2 linked regions of the Nothobranchius furzeri genome follow. The protein of the gene in region 2 interacts with the protein of the main gene of each other region in a biochemical or structural test. Links are inferred from orthologs where the notes say so. Each region holds a gene or a part of one and is shown on either strand. Other genes may lie near its edges.

Region 1 (5,569 bases), on a different chromosome or scaffold from region 2:
TTGCAGTAATATTTATATCTCGAAGAAACCAATGATCACTATAAATTTTCCAATAAATATTAGTTGATGGAAACAATTATACTAAAGAGAAATGTAAGAATCTCTACTGTAGATCTTGAACTACATACATGAACTGAACTGAAGGAGGTTGGTTCAGTCCTCATAAGCAAAGACTTTGATTGGCCAAGTCTTATGGCCTTATCAGGCACAGCCAATCATTTTAAAACAGCTCTGGTTAAATATCACCTAAAAAAGAAAGAAGACCCATTGAGATTAAGGTTTTTAGGCCCATTTAAAGGAAATGTCATCATCTGGATGCCACACGTTAAAATTGTGTTCGAATTTCATGTGAGAAGCCAGATCACACACACGTCTTTAACTTTACTGGACTGATGGTGAAAAAAGTAGCACAATTAGTAAGAAATAAAATAAAATTGAATCTCAACATAACCAGCTGTATTTCCTGTTGTTTCTGGATTGTAAACACCATGGCGTCCATGCCAGCTGGCTGTCTGTTGCTCATGTTAATCTGTGTAAGCCGTAAGAAGTCGAGGATGAAATTATAACACCACAATGTCTCCAATTATATTTAAGCATTTTAATACTTATGTATTATCGCATCAAATTGTTTATTTATTTTTTTATTATTATTAGGATTTTCGGGTCCTGACCTGCATGCAGCGCAAATGCACACACGGTCCAGCTCACCAGCAGCGTTAGCACGAGGAAACACATTACATACCCAGCTGTCATCACAACATTGTAAATAACCAGGTAGGCCGTGGCCAGGGCACTGGGTCCCTTCTTCTTCTTCGAGCCCGCATCACCGTGGGCCGCCTTGCTGGTCCCCGGAACAGCTGCCGACATGACTCCAACCCTTAACGGTCCTAAACGACGGTGGACGTCAGGCTGAGTCAGGAAACAATCGGGAGTTACACCAGGAAGTGTCGTCACAAAACAAGATGGTTCTAAACTTCTTAAACTTCCGGTTTGAAATAAGAGCAGGCATCGATGAAGCAGGGGTTTGGGGGCTGAACTATCTTGTAACTCTTGAATCACGTTTCTGCTGTGCGTTTGTCGTCCTCCTGTGATGATTTTTATTATACAGAAATCTCCAAATCCATCTCCATCAATTTTCTGGCAATTTCACTTTGCATTTGCATTGACTTGGTTTTAAAGAAAACAAAACGACATTTAACTTCCTGAGACAAGATAAATACGTATTTTAAAAGATAACGTTGAACACATTTATAATATGTAAATAAGACGGCACAACACTACACTGCCTCCTGATAAAACATCAGAAATAAAGAAAAAAAAACGGGTTCATTTTAATGTATTTTTATAAAGAATAAAACAACTTTGTAACAAAACCACGATTTAATCAGATTTAAGGCTCAATCCAAAAATTATTTTAAAAAGTATCTTTTTATAGCTTACATTTGCTGCATAGTAGTGTTGGAACACAAGCTTTTCCTTTTTTATTCGTAGTTTTTAGTGGACGAAGGTTTTATGTATGTATGTATGTATGTATGTATGTATGTATGTATGTATGTATGTATATATATATATATATATATATATATATATATATATATATATATATATATATATATATATAGTAATGTAAGTTTTATATAAGTGTTGGAGCTGCTGTACGAAGTGAATTTCCCCACTGTGGGACCAATAAAGTCTATTTTATTCTATTCTATATTATATAAATACTTTATATATTTCATATATTTCCTAGCAAAACTACTGAAGTGTTTCTCTAGCCTGGCAAGCCAGACTAAATCAATGTACTACTACTAGTGTTTCTCGGCTCTCCTCCCAACCGAACAGGCATTTGGGAAATAGCTATGACGACAGGGGTGCCGTTTTTGGCACAACACCGGAAGAGCAACTAGTGCAAGTTTAATGGACAACAAGGAATAAACGCTTGTTTAAGTTTAGTCTCGATAACACGCGTACTCTTCTTTGTCGGAGCCTAGTTTCTTTTGAGTCGCTAAAATGCCTTTATTTTCCCAAAATCCCTTCGATCAAGATGTTGGTGAGTGACTTGTTTTATTGTTGGTCTTTTCATGGACTCAGAGCAGCTGACGAGAAGCTAATGCTAACGTAGCTTAGTGAGCTCTAAAGTTACGATATTTCAGCTTTGGCAGTTTTAATACGTTCAACCCTGACAGGTTTTGTCCACTTTTTAACGTTTTGTTGACTTCTTGTCAACAACTTTTATCTAGTCTGAGGGTCATTTCGGGCGTTGTTTTGTAACCAACTTAAGTCTGACTCATGATAACAGCTAGCTCTTTTCCTAAAAAAATAGCAAGGGCCCTTTAAATGTGTTAGTTTTAACCGAGTACACTTTAAAATACTCGTAAATCCAATTAAATAAATTAAGATTCATAACTGAGACACAGGTGGATGATTTATTTGTCATAATTTACATTTCAAATTTTAAATTAAATTTAATTTAATTTCAAGTTGTTTGTCAACACAAACTAGTTTATGGATTTTTCTCTTACAAACGTTTCTAATAATATAATGTTGTGCTTTATGATCTGAAATGGTAAGTGGGACATAAGCATGTTAAAGATTACTTTCTGGCTCAAAATGCTTTTGTTTCAAAATTGTATTGTTATTATCATTAAAAATAATAATATTGGGAGTACATTTTTACCAAACAAACAGAAAAAATGCAGGTCTGTGAAGGCTTTATCATGTTTTATTTTAGATATTTTTGGTTTTATTTATCAAATTGCCCAACAGTGTGTATTAAAAACCCAGCAGGGGTTGTAGTGAGGTGTAGATCTCTGGAAATTAAACAAATATCGCTGATGTGTTGTTTCCACTCCCTGTTACCTCAGGAGCAATTCGGCTCAATTCTCAGAATCACGTTTATTCTTATTTTTCTCCACATGTGTTTGCTTTTGTGGTTCAGGGATACTTGTCTCACTAATAACAGTAATATTAGTTCTCAGCTCAACTTAAACATTTTCTTATTAAGCCTGTGTTTTAACTGCGCTCTGCTGGGATGGTTGAATCCAGTTAAACCATTATCAATTTGAAATATTTTATTACGCTCTTTTCATAAAGTTTGGTGCTTTAGAGCTATTCAAATGAATATTAAACGGAGATAATACCAATATTTAAAACCAACATGAGTTTTTTTATCATCAATATAAAATATTAAGACTTAATTAAAATGTTAATGATAATGTAGGAAATTTAGAATACAATATTAAAGTTCCAGAATTGTGGCTCAACAGTTTGTGTCATTAAGCCACAGCAGATGAACGGACTTAAAACAACAGACAACAATGTGGTAAAAAGTGAAATATGAAACTATTATTATTCAGTTCAGTGCAGGTGAATTAAAAATCAACACAAAGTGGCTAACATTATTCAAAGCAGTTGTGATATTACTGCTGCCAAGTCTAGATGCATCTTTATTGTTCTGAATGTAAATTCTCTTCATCACTTCCTCGTTTGCCGGCCTTTCCCACCCCAGCAGCAGCATGCTTAGACCAAACAATGGTGCTCTGTGGACTCAGGAGTCATGACTGTTGTGCCAAATGTTCATCTGAGGGAGGTTGTTGGGAGGTGGTTGTGCTTCATTGTGTGACCAAAGAGCCCGGTGGCACTCGCCTGCTGTGGCTGGCATCAAAACCCAGCAGCCATGATGGCAGCGAGCATGTTTTCTCACTTGACCATATGCACCATTTCCAGAGAAAGCAACAAATGAAAACAACACAACAGATGACTGGGGGCTCATCATGGACATCTGCGATAAGATTGGAACGACAGCCAATGGGTGAGCTGGGCAAAGACACTGAATAATTCCTGGAGTGATTTAGTGAATGGAGTCTAATGCCACACATATATGGTTTGCTAACAATCCCATTTCCTGGAGTTAATCTGGTTTATCTCCTCTGGTTCAGCCCGAAGGACGGCCTGAAATCCATAATGAAGCGAGTCAACCACAAAGTGCCTCATGTCGCCATGCAGGCTCTCAACGTGAGTTTCATTCTGCCTTTTAGGCTTTAAAGTTAAGAAAATAGAAAACTAAGGTGAGTAAATAATTTGTGTGAAATTTTCTGCTCAGACTAGCAGTTGGCTTGTCTATCACCCCAGGTTTCCATCAGATGCATAAGCGACGGGTAATGTCTTCCAAGCGAAGTCCACAGCTAACGGTCACCGTTCTAGTCTGTGGGTGTGTTTCCCCCAGGCGTGCAGCGGTACGCCTCAGACACGTTGTAGTGTAGCATCGAGGCCTCCGGTAAATTTACGTGCTGCTGGATCTGTCTTACATGCTATGGTTTCAGAACATGCTCAGCAGCTCCGATCAGTCCAGACAGGAAGTCAAACGTGGCAGTAGGGCTGTGCAATAAATTGAAAATGTATCTTTATCGAAATTTGTCACTTTTATCGATCATTTTTCTCATTTCAGTAAATTAGATAATAAACAAATGAAAAGATGTGTGTAGGTTGGCAACGTTCATGGCCTTTTAAGAAGCTGTACCACCTTAAGTCACGTAAAAATGTGATTTAATGTAATACATGTGACAGCGCCATCTAGTGGACAACATTTGTTTCTGCACATACCTGTAGTTATCGTCCATTTATCATTATCGAGGTGAAATCCTCAATATATCGTGATATTGATTTTAAGCCCTATCGCCCAGCCCTACGTTGTAGCTGTTTGTCCTAGCTTGTTATCATGTGATCTGGTGAAATCACATGTGATCTTGCAGTTCTCCTGTGATTTTCATTATCTTTTGAGATTAGCTGCGTGGAACGCGTTCGCAGCCACCGCGTGTCTGAAACAGTCCTGGTAGGAGGAGACGCTCTGCTGACGTTGTGGTGAAAACTCATCTGTTAGGTTTTGCATCTGGTGGAGAGCCCCATTAGATCAAAGAGAGTGAGTCCAAATCCAGTGAGCTAGCCTTCATTTTTATTCCTGCCCTCGCCTCAGCCTATCGCCTAGCAACCACAATGGAGATAAACTGATGACAAAGGGATACTTTGCAAGTTTGTCATGCTTTTAAATCATTTTCTTGCGCCAGCATGTGCTTAAACGACCCTTTGCAGGGTTTATGAAAGGCCACCCAGATCCTATCGCCCTCTGTGGCCAGAATATTCCACTTCCTCTGTTGGGATACGGAGCTGACATACCTGGTGCTGCAGTCTGGTTACAGCCCGTTTCCTGTATGTTAGATCATGAACACAGCTGATTTGTTTTAACTAGTGATGAATCACTCCTGTAGACACTAAAGAAGGCTGGGAGACATTTCAGCTGATGGATCAAGGTGTTAAAAAGACAAAGCACCGCGAGATGGGTTTTGGTTTCGGTTCTACAAATGGACTCTAGGGGGTGCTAAAGCAAGCCACAACTGCCTAGTTGCCCTTTGAAACAAAATATGAAGAATACAGATTCCATCCAACTAGCATTTACAGGTTTTTTTATCATTTATGATTAATTATATGTTTAAAGCAAAAAATATGCAAACAGAAAAATCTAACAACACAACTGCTCTAAGTTTTTATGTGTTTACCACCAGAAGTTGTTATG
Region 2 (4,463 bases):
ATTATGTCTTTTGGGATTTTACTCTTTTCAAGAACCACATGGGTCATCTGAACATGGGTCACTACACCGCTGTGTGCTACAATGGCCCAACCCAATCGTGGCACTGCTTTGACGACGCAGTTTTAAGAGAAGTAGAGGACACCCACATCCAATCTCCAGATGTCTACATGTTGCTCTACAGCCACAAGCCTTTCCAGAAACCAAAGATCCAAGGACTCTGAGCTCAGCTCAAAGGAAAAAACCCATCGCTCATTTAACGTGTTCTTCATTTTTTGCAGATTTAATCCAAACTTGTTAAAAAGGTTTTTTTGTACCTGCCAGAAATGTAATCAGAAGCCTGTGAACTTGAGCCAACATGAAATTTACAAAAATGCACATTCACAAAATGAATTTGTAGTAGTTTTAATAAATAGTCATGAGTTGTTTGAGGTTAATATATTCGTTATATTTGAAACAATTTTTGTAGAGCATTAGGAAATAAAACAAATGTACAAATAAAAAAGAAAAAGGATTATAATGTCATGCTAGGCAAGAGAAGTTGACCCAGGAAATGATCAGATCCTGCACCTTCGCATCTCTGGTCCGTTTAGAAGTCGTGTCTGTGAGTTAGCCTGGCAGGCATCGAGCGTCGACACAGAATCGCTCAGCAGAACAAAATGTCTTCATTTTTTCCAGCTCATTACACAAAAAATCCATCAGGTTGGAGGAAAATCAAAATAAGTGAATCTCAAACTTAACTTTTCCCAGTTTTTTTAATAGTGTTTGAGTTTGATATTTGAAAAAGTAACATCCACCTAACTGAGAATAAAGTTTAAAGGAGCAGGTAGACAACCAGCCCATGTCTGGTATCTGTTTAAAGCATTCTGAGAAGAAGATAAAGGTCTGCTGCTTAACAACCCGCTGTACAACCTAAAACTGACTGCATACTCTGTAAGAAGGATGTTAATAGGAACTAGCAAAAGTCTGAAATCTGTTAGAAAAAAAATCACTCACAGTTTCTCCCATTACTCTTATATCAGTCGTTACAGTTAAACCCTCAAAACAAATGTGATTCAGTTAAATTTATATAGTGATATCATGGCGGTTGCTACGGTTAAAAAAAAAGAGAGAGATTTGGTCACCAAACAGAATTCGCTGTTGTGTATTTACACCAAACGTTTGAATGTGCCACTTCAGCATTAAAAACGTGCATGTTCATGTGTAACAGCAGTACAAGGAAGCTGAAGATCAGTTCTGCTGTCTACGCTGCCTACTAGAGAAATGAGAGTGAAGATGATCTGAATCAGCCCTAAAGCACAGCTCTAGTAAGAAGGTCAGACTAACATGAGCATCTGTTTAGTCTCTGGTTGGTCAGTAATGTGCACAGACAGCATGTTTGAACAGCTAAAGGCTCCTCTAGTAGCTGAAGCAGTACACAGCGTGCCTCCGACGTTCTCCTGTCAGGATCTCAAAGCCACTGTCCTCTCTTGCACATATGTGACCACTTCACCCTCAACTATGTGCACCAGGCTCCTCAGAGCTATTTGAAAAGAAAATGGCCTCCAAGTTAGAGCATGACTACTCTAATGTAGTTTCCCCCTTGATGTCCTGCAGCAGCGTCACAGGGTGGAGTAAAACAGGATGTAGGCTGCAGAGGACTTGACCGAAGAGGAGGAGATTTCAAACACTTCGTGGTCATCAAACTTGTACCAGCGCTGTTTGTGGATGTTCTTACAGTATGCTGTGTAATGGCCACCATCTAAGCCTCCATAGTGATTCTGGTGGTGGGGGAAAACAGATGGTTTGCATTAAAGTTTCTAAATAAATGCACTGCATAGTTTTAGCTGACGTTTTGAGCATTGTGTTGTTCCTACTTACAGAAACTCCATAAAGGTTGTATCTCTTCAGGTTCTGCTTGGGTCCAATAACATACTGCATCAGGTCCAGACCATCTAGTGGGAAGTCAACAGAAGTCTGTAGCTTTTGTTTCCATCTACCTTCATAAGAGAACCTGAAGAAATAAACAAATAAAGAAAATACAAAGTTTACATTTTCAGTCTCAGAAATTTGAACTTTATTATGTTATTACTAGGGTTGGCATCGAGCATCGATTGGAACCGGGACCAAATGTTAGTTTTTCCCGGAATCGTTCAAAGTTTTTTTATTTCAATTCCTAGTTTCGATTCCTAGAATGTTGACCGGAAGAGGAATCCGCTTTTCAGAGCGGATCACACCAGCTGTCTGTGTGCAGCACTGAGTCGTCCCCCCCCTCCCCCCACCCGACGCGCAGCGGCCAAATATAAACAAACGCGTCTGCCGAACTTTTACTCCGTAATGTTACTTCTGCTGGACCTCACGGCTGCCTTTGACACGATAGATCATGAAGTGCTGCTTCACCATCTACATCATTATGTCGGGATTTCAGGGTTAGCCCTGAAATGGTTTAGATCATACCTGACAAATAGAAATGTGTGTAAAGATGGGAAGTTATTCCTCAGAGTACTCTGATCTAGCCTGTGGGGTATCACAGGGCTCGATATTGGGACCTCTGTTGTTTTCTGTTTACATTCTGCCATTAGGTGACATCTGTCGTGAGCTTGGAGTTCAATTCCACCTATATGCTGACAATTGTCAGCTGTACCTGCCTCTGAACACGTCAAGTGGTCTCTCTATTTCTATTCTTACTAACTGTTTGAGGGAGATCAAGACCTGAATGAGTGAAATTTTTCTGAGCCAAAATGATCACAAAACAGAGGCTATATTGTTTGCTCCAAGCAGACATTGTGATTATTCCCTAACTGACTGTGGGTCATTTAATGGCCATCTGACTGCATCGGTGACTAATCTTGGTGTTAAACTGGATAGCGCCCTTAGTTTTGATACCCACATCAATGGAGTGATCTCCACCTCCTTTTTCCACCTTTGTCAGTTGGCAAAGATCAAACCATTTTTGTCACGTCATGATCTTGAGACGGTAGTCCATGCTTTTATTACGGTGCGATTGGACTACTGCAACTCTGTTTTATTCGGTGTGAGCAAGGGCTCAGTAGCCAGGTTGCAAATGGTCCAGAATGCTGCGGCCAGACTTTTAGAGGGCAGGCGCAAGTATGACCACATAACTCCTGTCCTGGCTGCGCTTCATTGGCTACCCGTTGATGTAGGGATTCGTTTTAAACTACTCTTATTGGTTTTTAAAACATTAAAATGGTTTGGCCCCTCCTTACTTGGTGTCACTGCTTCAACCGTACACCCCTGCATGGTCACTCCGCTCGGAGAACCTCATGCTCCTCTCGGTCCCAAGAACGCGCCTAAAGACACGTGGTGATAGGGCCTTTGCTGTGGCAGGTCCTAAGCTTTGGAACGAGCCTCCTCTCAGCATAAGGGCCTTCACCTTTGTTGCGGTTTTTAAGGCAAGGCTAAAAACCTACTTTTATGATCTGTCTTTTAACCTTTCTAACTAGTTTTTATTATTTTACTTATAGTGATTTGTGCACTCACTGTATTTTATCTGTATCTTGTGATACAATGTTTTTATTTTCTGGACTTAATGTTTTATGTTTTTTACTTGATCAGTGTAGCGCCTTGGTGGCATCTTTTTACCTGTGACCCCTTCTTTCCACCGGAGCCGTCAGCAGCACGTTACTGCAGCAGCACGTCTTGCTCGCGTAAACTGCTGCTTGGCCCTTCCCACGAGACGCGAAGCAGCAGGGGAGCAGCTGTCACCGACAGAGCACGAAGTCACACGAGTGACTTCATCAGTAAACACAACAACAAGCAGGAGAAAACTACAACATGGCTCCAAAAGGTTTGTGTTTTATGTTCTGTCCGTTTTATAATCGCCAATACGGACCTGAAAAACAAAGGAGACCGCTAGCTAGGTGATAACTTCTCACGGGGCCGCACAGTTAGAAACTTTTTTTTAAAGTAAAGCAACCGGAAGGCAGTACGTTTCTTTATTCTGAAAATCTCGGGAGCTTCGCTCCGTTTCCGCATCCAATTTCCTGTCTTTCCTTCCCCAAAAATGTCGAACTTGACCCGTTTCAGAGGCGGCGCGCGTAGAAAATAGAATTGGCGTGTAAGGGCTGCGACATGCTGCTCCTGAGACGCGGCCGACTCACGCTGCCGACGGCTCCAGTGGAAAAGGTTCTGTTGACCACAACGGTTCCTATCAGCAGCTATGACGTGCTGCTGCAGTAACGTGCTGCTGACGGCTCTGGTGGAAAGAAAGGGTGAGGCGCAATTTACAAATAAAGTTGAGTTGAGAATGTAAACTTTAACTCCTGCAGCGTAGAGGAAACTTGTTAAAATACGTCAACACGGTGGATTTAATAGAAGCTTTAAAGAACAAACTCTGGACGGTGTGAGGTGAGTTTGTCTCACTGCAGAAATAAAAACACAAACGGAGCGTCAGCAGTCAGACGCAGCTGCTCACCAACACTCGTGTGTGTGTGTGTGTGTGTGTGTTTGTGTGTGTGCATGAGCAT

The links.
Region 1: the proteins of usp8 (region 2) and stam2 form a complex in vitro, tested with the Homo sapiens proteins (3 studies listed by BioGRID, with this or other methods). The link is inferred for Nothobranchius furzeri from reciprocal best matches to the Homo sapiens genes USP8 and STAM2.

What each region holds. Positions count from the first base shown.
Region 1 is NC_091754.1:32,010,870-32,016,438, forward strand, and holds the start of stam2 (signal transducing adapter molecule 2), read left to right. Parts: upstream 1-1,867; 5' UTR 1,868-2,010; coding exon 2,011-2,050; intron 2,051-3,726; coding exon 3,727-3,811; intron 3,812-3,938; coding exon 3,939-4,014; intron 4,015-5,569. Other genes in the region: hacd2 (very-long-chain (3R)-3-hydroxyacyl-CoA dehydratase 2), read right to left, coding at 743-867.
Region 2 is NC_091749.1:41,744,420-41,748,882, reverse strand, and holds the end of usp8 (ubiquitin carboxyl-terminal hydrolase 8), read right to left. Parts: intron 1,991-4,463; coding exon 1,858-1,990; intron 1,758-1,857; coding exon 1,599-1,757; 3' UTR 1,485-1,598; downstream 1-1,484. Other genes in the region: uncharacterized protein, read left to right, coding at 33-221. UniProt on the Homo sapiens protein: Hydrolase that can remove conjugated ubiquitin from proteins and therefore plays an important regulatory role at the level of protein turnover by preventing degradation. Converts both 'Lys-48' an 'Lys-63'-linked ubiquitin chains.